2 linked regions of the Drosophila melanogaster genome follow. The gene in region 2 interacts genetically with the main gene of each other region. Each region holds a gene or a part of one and is shown on either strand. Other genes may lie near its edges.

Evidence for each region.
Region 1: of Vha68-1 (region 2) and l(2)gd1, changing one suppresses a phenotype caused by changing the other (phenotypic suppression), as found in Drosophila melanogaster (one study listed by BioGRID).

Annotation. Positions count from the first base shown.
Region 1 is NT_033779.5:11,105,128-11,111,615, forward strand, and holds l(2)gd1 (lethal (2) giant discs 1), read left to right. Parts: upstream 1-1,815; 5' UTR 1,816-1,937; coding exon 1,938-1,994; intron 1,995-2,081; coding exon 2,082-3,680; intron 3,681-3,738; coding exon 3,739-4,170; intron 4,171-4,228; coding exon 4,229-4,380; intron 4,381-4,977; coding exon 4,978-5,122; intron 5,123-5,188; coding exon 5,189-5,308; 3' UTR 5,309-5,714; downstream 5,715-6,488. Other genes in the region: Reps (RALBP1 associated Eps domain containing), read right to left, coding at 1-9, 78-397, 480-884, 940-1,086; Idua (alpha-L-iduronidase), read right to left, coding at 5,715-5,794, 5,853-6,488. UniProt on the Drosophila melanogaster protein: Phosphatidyl inositol monophosphate binding protein involved in endosomal protein sorting through regulation of the endosomal sorting required for transport (ESCRT) pathway.
Region 2 is NT_033779.5:13,000,270-13,005,988, forward strand, and holds Vha68-1 (vacuolar H[+] ATPase 68kD subunit 1), read right to left. Parts: upstream 3,839-5,719; 5' UTR 3,772-3,838; exon of another isoform or gene 3,705-3,771; intron 3,447-3,704; 5' UTR 3,391-3,446; coding exon 3,315-3,390; intron 3,052-3,314; coding exon 2,354-3,051; intron 2,269-2,353; coding exon 1,291-2,268; intron 1,236-1,290; coding exon 1,143-1,235; 3' UTR 501-1,142; downstream 1-500. Other genes in the region: Yip1d1 (Yip1 domain-containing 1), read right to left, coding at 1-115, 178-272; mTor (mechanistic target of rapamycin), read left to right, coding at 4,517-4,742, 4,798-5,018, 5,162-5,719. UniProt on the Drosophila melanogaster protein: Catalytic subunit of the V1 complex of vacuolar(H+)-ATPase (V-ATPase), a multisubunit enzyme composed of a peripheral complex (V1) that hydrolyzes ATP and a membrane integral complex (V0) that translocates protons.

The sequences.
Region 1 (6,488 bases), 1.9 Mb from region 2:
AAAAAGTTTCTAATAAAAAAAGGAATAAGAAAATAATAAGAAGAATAAAGTTATAAACGTTCCTAAAGCCAACTTACCTTGCTGCTTGGCCCGAAAGCAGACCATGCGGATCCCTTTGCACCGTCCTGAACTGCTTATTATAGTACTCGCGCTGTTCCGGGGTTATCTGGTAAATGGTCACCAATTCGCTCTCGTTGTCATCGTCGTCGCTGCTGTGGCGATCGGAAGACTCTTCCTCCGTGCCTAGCAGCTGGCGATGCTCGTCGCCCAGCAAACCCTGCCAGAGGGTGTCCTGCGCCCAAGGCCGCTCAGCCACGCTGTTGGTGGGCGTGGGGCTGTCACTGTTAGTGCTCCAGGCTTCTGGCGATCCACCACCAGTACCGCCTCCTCGTCGTCGCTAAAAGAGATAAGGCATGGACGGGGATCGGTCAATGGTAAGCTTATTTACAAATGTCACAAGATAAGATAGAAGTACAAACCCCGACATTTTCGCGGCTGCTGCTGCTGACGACCCCACAGCCATCCGTACCTCGTCCATGGCCTGTCGCATCGTCCACTGATTCGTTTTGCTCAACCTCGGAGTCGGTGCTGGGCACATCAGAGGTGTCTTGCAGCTGCTCTTGCTGCGAGTTACGACGCAGTGAATTTCTGCGATCTGTGGGTGGTGGCGGTGGCAAGGCAGTCAATCCATTTTCGACAGCCACCGGAGCTGTAACCGCCTCCTTCCAGCTAAAGTGCGGTAATGGAAGCGGAAACGTGGCCAAGATCAGCTCCTGGCGCAGGGGCATGGCCGCCTGATGAGCAGCGATTAGCTTCAGGCATGAGTAGAACTGTGTCCGCGAGATGTGTAGCGCCGTGGAGGGTATCCCCGCCAGACCGGTGATCTATAAGCCCAGACCCAGATAATTAATCACTCACGATCACACAAATTGGACCTACCTCAATCACGGTCTCATTGGCGATGTCCGCCGAGCGAAAGAGCTCGGTGGCCTTAAGCATGGGCACCTTGCCTGTCTTCTCCACGTCGCAGCATTGGAACAACTCACTGTAGAAGCGCGTCTCCGGCTCAGTGAGGGACACGTCCATGCCTGTCGCCTACTTGTTGCCGTCTCTGGTTTCGTTTACCAAGCCGCTGGTTAACGAGCCACGCCCCGTTCGTCCGTCCTGGACCCGGAATCCAATTCGTTTGTTTACTTCCACGTTTAACCCAGCAGGCCAGTGCCGACCCCGCTGCCCCGCGCTGCTCACAACCAGAAGTCTGATGATTTTCTGCCTTTGGCCCCCAAGACGGAGTTGGAGGAGGTGGAAGCTGGGAGAACTGCGGGGACGATGGTTTCGCTAACTTCTTGGTGCCACCACAACCACGATGGTTAGAGGATTCACGGCACTGGTCGACGAGGGTACACCTAGTGCCTCAAGCTGCTCGGCGCACAATCAATTTGGCTTTTTGTCCAGGTTTTTTTTCGCAAACTCTTTTGCACTGTGTGTGCGCTGGCTCTCGATATCGATAGGTTGCGGTATCGATTCGATTAGACAGCTGGCGCGGCAGCCCTGTACCTGTTAGCGTTTCGCAGCCCTAGTTACCGGCAAAAGTTTAGTTCCGCAGGATTGATGTTTTGTAAGGTGGCTTACCATGTTCATTTATATTTCATTATGGATTAAACTATAATAAAATTTAATGTTGCTGAATGAAGAAAAAATCATTTCTTCATTATTTTTAACGATATTTTTTTAACCGTCAACAAATTTCCTGTAGCCCTGTGCCACTGACGTCACCAATTCGCAAAGACTTTCCTGCGTCACCTTTCGTTGCACCACAGTGATCCCCACTCTGTTATTGTTGTCTGCGGCTGAACTGTTGCGACGCAAAAATTTAAAGGATTTGAAAGTCTTTATAGACTTATTTTAGTTAATAAACAGCCTCTGTGCAATCAAGGATGTTCTCCAGAAAGAAGCCAGAGCCAGCGAAAAGAAGGCAACACGATTTATCGCAGGTGAGAGGAAAAACAAACAGTCTAGATCCGTCTATTTATTAATTATGACTCATCGTTTGGACTGTCTTTTTTGTTTTTTGTGTTTAGTTCGGTCTTACGGAAATCCCAGATGATTTTGATCCCAGCGCTGGATATGGTGAGGACGATGGGGGTGACAGTGATTTGGAGGCAGAGCTTGCGGCCATAACCGGCGGAGAAGGAGCCAAGCCAAAGCCCAAGCCCAAAGCAAAGCTGTTACCCGCCAGTGATTTGGACAAAATGATAGCCGACAGCTTGCGTGATGTCAGCGACGATGATGATGATGACAATTTGGAAAGCGATCCGGATCTTCTTGGCGAGCTGAGCGGAATCGGTGGTCTAGAGGAGGCAGAGGAAGAGGAGCCTGTCGCACAACCGCCAGCTGCCTCTGAGGAACCCGTCCAGACCTTTCTGCCCACGACGACTGTGGACACATTAAGCATTATCAAACAGCGCCTGGAAATGTACAAGCAGGCCGAGGCCAATGCCAAGACTGCCGGCGATTCTGGCAAAGCAAGGCGATTTGGAAGAGGCCTTAAGACTCTGAAAGATCTGCACAGGCAGGCAGCGGCTGGCAAGTCCATTAACGTGGATGACATTCCACCTGAAGTCAGTGTAAAGCCAATTGGCGGGCAGGCTCCTCCAGTGCCTGCAGAGGAGTCACCAGCTCCTTCCACACCTGCTTCCCCTCCGCCTGTGCCTAGTCGTGCAGCTCCAGATCCACCAACCCCCGGCACCCCCGTGGAGCCCACTACATCTGTGGCTCCCACATCTCCCCCTAATCCTCTTGTGACGCAAATGCGCAGCCGCCAGACGGACTACAAAGCTGCTGCACTGCAATCTAAGCGCAGTGGTGACATATCTACTGCCCTTCAGTTTCTCAAAGTGGTCAAGCAATTTGACGTAGTTATAAAAATGTGTGAAGACGGACAGGAAGTTGATTTGAGTGACATGCCCCCTCCACCAGCTGAGTTTCTTGAATTCCTTAAAAAAATGCAAGAAGAAGCAGCCGCAGAAGCTGTCGCAGAACCTACTGCTGCCCCAGAACCCACACCTGTTGCTCCTGCTCCTGTTCTAGCAGCTGCAACAAATATGTTGGAGGCTCTGCAGCAACGTTTAGAGAAATATCAATCTGTAGAAGCGGCAGCCAAGGCAGAAAACAATAGCGGAAAAGCAAGACGCTTTGGAAGGATTGTGAAGCAATACGAAGATGCCATAAAGTTGTACAAGGCAGGCAAACCAGTGCCTTACGATGAGCTGCCTGTGCCACCAGGTTTTGGACCGCTGCCTACGGCTGATGCTGCTCCTGTCGCGCCGACACCGTCGCTGCCCACTTCGCCTACATCTCCACCGCCAACAGCAAGTACTTCCGCAGGAGGAACACCCTCCAGTTCCAGTGCGACGACACCTACAGCTCCTCGAAAAGCACCTTCACCTCCTAAGCCCAAAGAGTTAACAACACGCACGTCTGGCAATCAGCAGAAGAATAATATTGCCGAGCAACAAATGAAACTGCTCCTCGAGCGCCAAAAGGAGTTTAAGCTAGCTGCTATAGAGGCCAAAAAAGCGGGAGAAATAGATCAGGCGAAGGAGTACCTCAAGATCTTCAAGGGATTCGATTCCCTTCTTAATGCAGCGAGTAGTGGATTGCCAGTGGACCTCAGCACTGTAAGTTTTGCATTACATCTTCTTCTTGTATGGCTAACTATATATTTTTTTTTTTCAGCTTCCCGTCCCGCCTTCACAAAGGGATAATCTAGAAGCCTCCTTTGCCATTGTATCTGCTGAGGAATGCGATCCGACAGATGATATCTGTGAAATTGGTGTTCGCATGGAGGAGCAGCTGGCAAAACAACTGATGATGTGCAAAAATACGCGAGATCATCACAAAGCTATGGGAGATGTAGCAGGCATGAATCGGTTTGAAAATTTAGCCTTAACTGTGCAAAAGGATTTGGATTTGGTGCGATACTCGAAACGAAAGAATGAACCACTGCCAAAGTTTCACTATGAAAAGCGTAGCTTCAACATTGTGCATTGCAACACAGATCTCACAGACAGTGAGCTTGAAATTGTTGTGGTCCGGGGAATCAGCTACAATGTGGCCAATCCCAAGGACGTGGATACTTATGTGCGCGTAGAGTTTCCCCTGCTCAATGTAAGCTAATTACCAACATTTAAAGTTTCACCAATTATTTATATGTTTTCGTTTTAAGGATGAATCTTTCAAGACTAAAACCAATGTTATCAGAGACACCAGCAGTCCTGACTACGATGAACGCTTCAAGGTTGACATCCAGCGGACCAATCGTCAGTTCCAGAGAATCTTTAAGCGGCATGGCGTCAAGTTTGAAATATACTCTAGAGGGTAAGTTGCCCGTACATAAAAGAACTGAGCTAGAACAATTATTTAATCCGTACTAAGAAGCTTTCCATGCATATTAATCTCAACTAACGGAGGCGGTATATGATCTTATTTACGCGTATTAATTTTCCAAGGAATACTTAGTAATATCCGATGAGTAGTAATCTTCTACATTTTGAAATAGCCTTAAAGACTTAAATAAAAATATATATATAATTTTAAAAAATATTTGGCATAGATCATTTTGCGAAAATTTAAAAAGCTGTTGATTGAGCTGCATACCTACTAAATATTTTTATCCAATTTGTAGGTTTCGCTTGGGTATTAATTTGCTCTTAATATTAAGTTTCAGCTCTTAATTTGAATTATTAAATTTTTCCCGTAGTAAGCATGTTCCTTTGGTCCCGTAAAACAGTATCGTACGAGTCACGGCTTCAAGCACACATATATTTCACCGTATGTGTCTACCCATTGATCTTCTTGATTGATTCTCACAAGGAACATTTTAATGAAATATTTTTACAAATTTTTACGCCTCAATTCCCAACAATTCAAACAAAAAATAAATGTCATCCAATGCTACGCATTTAATATAAATAGCTGCAGTATAGATTGTTGTGGACTAAGTCGTAAACTGCCCCTGTGTTGTTTCAGAGGTTTTCTGCGATCGGATACGTTGATCGGAACCGTAAATGTCAAGCTGCAGCCATTGGAGACCAAGTGCGAGATACACGACACATATGATGTAAGTGATAACTACTATAATAAAATAATATAAACTTAAATTTAACCTATGTATTCCTTAAAACAGCTAATGGATGGTCGCAAGCAAGTAGGTGGAAAATTGGAAGTCAAGATACGCGTTCGCAATCCTATTCTCACCAAGCAAATGGAGCACATCACCGAAAAGTGGTTGGTCTTGGATGCCTAGGGCTAAACAAGAAAATTTAAATAAAATAGGAACGCGTCCCCTTGCGATTGTTCTCGATTAAGTCACTAAGTTATTTGTTTGTAAATATCCCTCACAGAAAATTCAATTTATCTAAGTATGTACGCTTTTGCCGATTCCTTCGCAGGAAGAAGGCATTTATATATTACGAACACAACACATATAATGTACTATAAATATCTTTATATATAAATAATATATGTATATATGATATTGCCGGCGTTAAGGCGAAGGCGCAAGTCCAGAAGATTGTGCCGGTGAAGTCAGTCCATTCCAAGAGAGACAGATTGAGAGTAGGATCGGTCCACTAGCGCCTAGCCGAAACCTGATTATGTTAGCTTTCACATTGCATAAATATTTTCTTTTGATTTATAAACTGTTTGTTGAACTACAACTCCAGATATTCGACTATTTGTGAGTAGGGACTGGTTTCATTAAACACATCCACACCGCGAACTTTATAGAAACCTGCCGACAAAAAAAGATTTCGGTTATGAAAGATGGAAATTTTGCAGGTTATGCTCACCATTGACGGATCCCTTATCGCCGGGCGCATACTGAAACGACGGATATGGCAGATGCCAGCCCTGTGAGATGAGCATCCAGTCGGCGGAGCGACCCAGATTATCGCGTTCCTTAAACCACACCTCGTAGCTGAGAAGGCACTGCGTGGATTTGGGGTGTTCCATCCAGCTAATGAACACCTCACGCTGAGTCACCTCTGCGATGGAAAGTTGCTGCGGTCGTCGCAGTTTGGGCCAAGATGCGGAACACACCCGGAGCAGCATCGCCCAGGGCAGTGGGATGCTGGCGGAGTTGATAACTAGCTCGCTGTTGTACTGCCAGATGGGTCCCGTCTTGTAGAGTCTAGGTGCTTGGGCTCTTCGCATCGCTTCCCTTAGAGTGGCGTTGGGATAAGCCGGACTTCCAGCTTGCTGCCATATGTAGTACGGATCCGTTTCCTTTGGCACCAGGAGCTCGGTGACGAAGGCCGACTCATTCGCTATCGACATGTTTAGCGTGTACTTGTGATGAAAGGCTGTCATCTTTGGACCCGCCTCCTCGGGACTCAGAAATATTGTGGCCATATACTGACCAGGACCGCCTAATCCACCGGATACTGTACGCAGGACCTGGACGCTATGTTTAGTATCCATATTAA
Region 2 (5,719 bases):
GGTGTAGGCCGTGGGATCGTAGAAGCCACCCAAGCCTTGGCTCGGCGGTTGGGCATAGGACGCATCGTAGTTCGGCGGCACTGAGGCCTGTGTGTTGTCGAAGGTTTGGAAATTCCTGCAAGCAAGTGGGGCAACAATTGTGAATGCTGTGAAATGGAATTCCGGGTAACTACTCACAGTTCCTGGCCAAATTCTGGCATATCGAAGTTGTAGCTGGCATCGGCCGAGGGCGCGGAGCCGTAAAAGTCATTGGGTCCGCCGAACTGAGACATGATTACTTTAATTTAAGCGCAATTCATATATTTACAAAATGATATTTAATTTAACAACACGTCAACTAGAGGTGACCAATAGCTAAATGTAATCGATGAATTTCGATGTTACCTATCGTCTAACACCGGTGCTATCTGAAATCGATATTTTCTCGCCCATCGATTTGTTTTAAATTCAAAAAATTGCGCCACTTTATAAGAAAGTAAATAAAAACCCGATCATTTTGTAACATTCATAATACATTTTATTTCCATAGCTCCATTTGCAACACACACAAGTTACTGAAATAGCTATCCTTTGGTAGTAGAGGTACATGCTTTTGGGGCTACGTTGTTATTGCGTTCTTTAAAGGTCTATAATATGTAGGAATATAATATTTTGTAATTTCGTAAAGATTCAAACGCCCTTTAGACTCGTCGTTTAGTTGGTTTAGTTTCACACAATAGGGTAACGAACACAATCGATAACTATATGAAAATTTACTAACAATACATAGCTGTGAATTATATTTATATATCAACATAGATAATTATACATATGTGTCATATATGTATGGTATTTATGTATATGGCTGGTTTAACTGCGTTCCATTTGCGCTACCGACTAATTATTGTTCGTCTTTCCTTTCGTTTTGCGTATCTTCTGGTGATTCGATTCTGACCTGACTAGACCTGAAGCGGGCCAAACTGTTTGTTAAACTTATAAGTAAACTTGGATTCAAATATCTTATTATGCATTATGTAAATATGACTAGATTGAATGGGGAATTCGAATAATAACCTAGCTTTGGTTTCTTATTTCGTTTGGTTTGCTTCTTTTTCCATTCCTCTCGCTAGGAAAGCCCGCAGTTGGTTTCTGTCCGTTTCCGCTTAGTCCTCTAGATTTCGGAAGGCCTGCTGCAGATCCTCGTACAGCTGGTCGTAGTCCGCCTTGATCTTTTGCTCGCCATCTTTCACCGGGTCCTTAAAATGTGAATTATTAATATAAATAATAGTTGGAATAGATAAACCCACTCACCTTGAACTTCATTGACGACAGCTGGTACATAATTCCGCCCATCGATTCCCTGATGGTGTTCCATGTGATCTTGTTGTCCGACTGGGCTGTGGACTCAACGGCATGACGGGCGGTCTCATAGAAGGCCATGATGTTTCTCAGCATGCCCACGGTCTTGTAGAAGGGACAAACGCGATCGTATGGTGAGTAGGAGTTCTGTTGCAGAAAGTCGTCCTTCAGCAGCTTTGCCACTTCCAGGGTCACCTTGTCGGTCTCGGCCAGTGATGCTTTGCCCACCAGCTGAACGATCTCAGACAGATCCTCCTCCTCCTGCAGGATCTCCTTGACCTTGGTGCGTAGTGGCACGAACTCGGGGTAGTTCTTGTCATAGTATTCATCCAGAGCACGCATGTACTTCGAGTAGGAGATGAGCCAGTTGATCGAGGGGAAGTGCTTGCGCTGGGCCAATTTCTTGTCGAGACCCCAGAACACCTGCACGATACCCAAAGTGGCGGAGGTCACGGGATCGGAGAAGTCACCACCAGGAGGAGACACAGCTCCGACAATGGACACGGATCCCTCGCGCTCCGGGTTACCCAAGCACTTGACGCGCCCAGCACGCTCGTAGAATGTGGCCAGACGAGCTCCTAGATAAGCCGGGTAGCCAGAATCGGCAGGCATCTCAGCCAAACGACCCGAAATCTCACGAAGTGCCTCAGCCCAACGGGAGGTGGAATCAGCCATCATGGCTACGTTGTAGCCCATATCACGGAAGTATTCAGACAGAGTGATTCCAGTGTAGATGGAGGCCTCACGAGCAGCCACCGGCATGTTGGAGGTGTTGGCCACCAGAGCAGTTCGCTTCATAATGGACTCGGTGACGCCATCTATCTCGCAGGTCAGTTCGGGAAAGTCACGCAGTACCTCAGACATCTCGTTACCGCGCTCGCCGCAACCGACGTAGATGATCACATCAGAGTTGGAGTACTTGGACAGGGCCTACGGGTGGTTGAAGTGCAGATTGGAAGGGATGGTCATTTAATGAGATGTAAGATGTGGATTAAGTGAATAATTTGCAACTTGCCTGCGAAATGACGGTCTTGCCGCAGCCAAAGGCACCGGGGATGGCAGTGGTGCCGCCCTGTACGCAGGGGAAGAGCGAGTCAAGGACGCGTTGGCCCGTGAAGAGCGGATGGTTGGCTGGCAGCTTCTCTGTGACGGGACGTGGCTGCCGCACTGGCCAGACCTGCAACATGGTGTGCTTGGTTATCTCGCCGTCGAACTCCGTCTCCAGGACAATGTCCTCCAGGTTGTAGTTGCCCGCGGGGGCAATGTATCGAACGGTTCCCTTAGCCCTGGGTGCCACAATCATGCGCTGCTTCACCAGCGTGTTCTCGTGTACCACTCCATACAGATCTCCTCCGGTGATGTGGGATCCCACCCGCACATTCAGCGGATTAAATTCCCACATCTCCGAGCGCGACAAAGCAGTTGTGTTGACACCTTTGGGTATATAGATGGAGTTGGTCATGACACCAATGTCCCGCAAAGGACGTTGGATGCCGTCGAAGATGCTGCCCATAATGCCGGGTCCAAGTTCCACGGAAAGAGGTTTGCCGGTACGCAGCACCGGATCGCCGACAGTCACGCCAGAGGTCTCCTCGTACACCTGGATGGTGGCCATGTCGCCCTCCAGACGGATGATCTCGCCCACCAGCTCGTAGTAGCCGACGCGGACCAACTCGTACATAGCTGATCCAGACATGGCCTCAGCGGTGACCACTGAAGTGGATTTAAAGTTGTTGAAGGAGGAAAAGCAGGAGAAATATGATTAGCAAGGAGTGGAGAGAGCAGCATAATGAGGAAGATTATGCGGAACAGGAGGAGGGGGAAGAAAGCATACAGAAATATGAAAAGGAGAAGGATAATAAGGAAGGATAAAAAGGAAGATGTGGAGGAGTATAATTAAGAACAGAAGAAAGGCAGGATTAAGGATTACAGAACTTGGGGGTCAGCGCATGAAGGACGCTGGTGACGTCGCTTACCTGGTCCGGATACCGCGTAGACACGGCCATATTCCGACTCGCGCTCCTCGTCTTTGAATTTCCTCAAGTTGGACATGGTCGCGGTTGCTGCTCTTCTTCTTCTGCTTCGGTAACGGTCAAATCGTTCGTTGGCTGTGGGAAAAAGTAACCGTTTTTCTTATAAACAAAAACACGCATTTTCCATGCCCCCGAATGAGAGAGCGTTTTCCGCGAGGAAACGCATAGGTGGCGCTGATGTGCAGCAGCAGCCCCCAGTGAAAAGCTTCACACCCCCGCAGCACAGCATCGATTTTCCAATACAATTTTCACACATGCCACCAACGGCAAGGTGAATTTTCCACCTTTTACCCATCACAAAAGCAATTTTCACACTTTCTTTTCATTCAACACCTTGTGGTCAGTGGTTTTGTGGCGTAAAAACTGCTTTTTCAGCTGCTCTAAAATTAAATAAGCTCACATTTGTTTCAACAGCTCTTATGAAAATTCTCTTGCTTTTTTGATTTCACTCTAGTATTGATCTATCGGTTATCGTCGAGGGCTCCAGGTTCTCTATAGAGATGGGCTCACATCAAACTCACGCACGTCACGATACATTAATAGTCGGATTCCACTAGCACATTCCGCAGTTAAATCTTGAAATACTTGTTGGTAATTATTAAAAATTTAACATAAGCTTGCATTTTTGTGCTATTTTCCAAATTCTTCAATGCAACTTGTTCACTCCAGTAATATAAATGTTTTGTACCACAACTTTAAGCCAATTTCTTTTTAATTGCTTATAATAAAGAACAAATTTATTAATTACTTTATTATTTTTATTTAATATGTTCTCTAACATTTTAAATGCTTATAAGTCGCCGCCAAGTACAGAAGTATCAGCAAGAAAATATCGATTGTAAATTGATCGAATTCTGTTTTACATCACTAATCGGCAGCGGCTGCAATAAATTTCCGTAAAAACCGAAGTAATCCGCAATTAAAGAAAGCAAAGGACCTGCATCCGTGTGAGATCGTTCGGCACCGGTGCCGGCACATGAAATCCTATCGAGTGACCAGTGGAACAGTGCGTACAGCGCCCCGGGGCAACTGAAAAGATAACCTCCAAAGTCCGTAGACAGCAGGCAGATGCACCTGCTCCACCCTTTCCCCTCCCAAATGCAAGTGAAAATCGCGTTTAAATAGTGAATAAACCCTGCCCAGCCATGTCGACGACGTCGGTGGTGCAGCAGTTCGTCAACGGGCTTAAGTCCCGCAACCGGAATGTACAGAACAAGGCAACCCAGGATCTGCTCTTCTATGTGAAGACCGAGCTACGCGAAATGTCCCAGGAGGAGCTGGCCCAATTTTTCGACGAGTTCGACCATCACATTTTCACGATGGTGAATGCGACAGATATCAACGAGAAAAAAGGCGGTGCCCTGGCCATGAGTGAGTTCCTGGCTCCCCGGCAGTGCTTGAGAGGATTTAACGTCTTCCCTTTCAGAGTGCCTGATTAACTGCGAGGGCAGTCTTACTGCCAGGAAGGGCATTTCGCCCTATCTCAACCGCCTGCGCGATCTTCTGCTAATCAACGATGTGTCCGTCATGGAGATTGCCGCCCGCTCCCTGGTCAAATTGGCCAACATGCCCACCTCCAAGGGCGCCGATTCCTTCGACTTTGATATTAAGAAGGCTTTTGAGGTGCTCAGAGGCGAGAGACAAGAGGTGAATTATAAGGGAAACCTACAAATTAAGCTTTTAAGTCTGATTTTGAGATGAAGATGGAAAAACTTTATAATGAAAATGAAAATAGTAGTTGTAAGCATGGCTAGAGTTATCCAAATTCATTTATATATTATTTTTTTCAGTACCGCCGCCATTCAGCCGTCTTTATCCTCCGTGAGCTGGCTATCGCCTTGCCCACATACTTCTACCAGCACATCCTGACCTTCTTCGAGGTTATCTTTAACGCCATCTTCGATCCCAAACCTGCTATACGAGAGTCAGCTGGCGAGGCTTTGAGGGCGGCTTTGATTGTCACCGCTCAGCGAGAGAGCACCAAGCAGTCCAGTGAACCACAGTGGTACAGAATCTGCTATGACGAGGCGAATGGAAGCTTCAATGCAGACTTGGGCTCTAGCAAGGATCAGAAAGGCGTGACCCGAGACGATCGCATTCACGGTGGCCTCGTCGTCTTCAACGAGCTCTTTCGCTGTGCCAATGCCACCTGGGAGCGGCGCTACACGTCTCTGAAGACGCTGTTCCCCAAGACCCAACACAATAAGTTCCTGGAGGCCAGCAGTTCGTCGAGTATGGGTTCCCAGCTGAATACTCTAGTGCCGCGGCTAAAGGTGCCCTTCATTGACAAGCTCGGCAGCACCCAAACGCATTTGGGTGAGGGAGAGCATCACAAAGGAGTTGCCAAG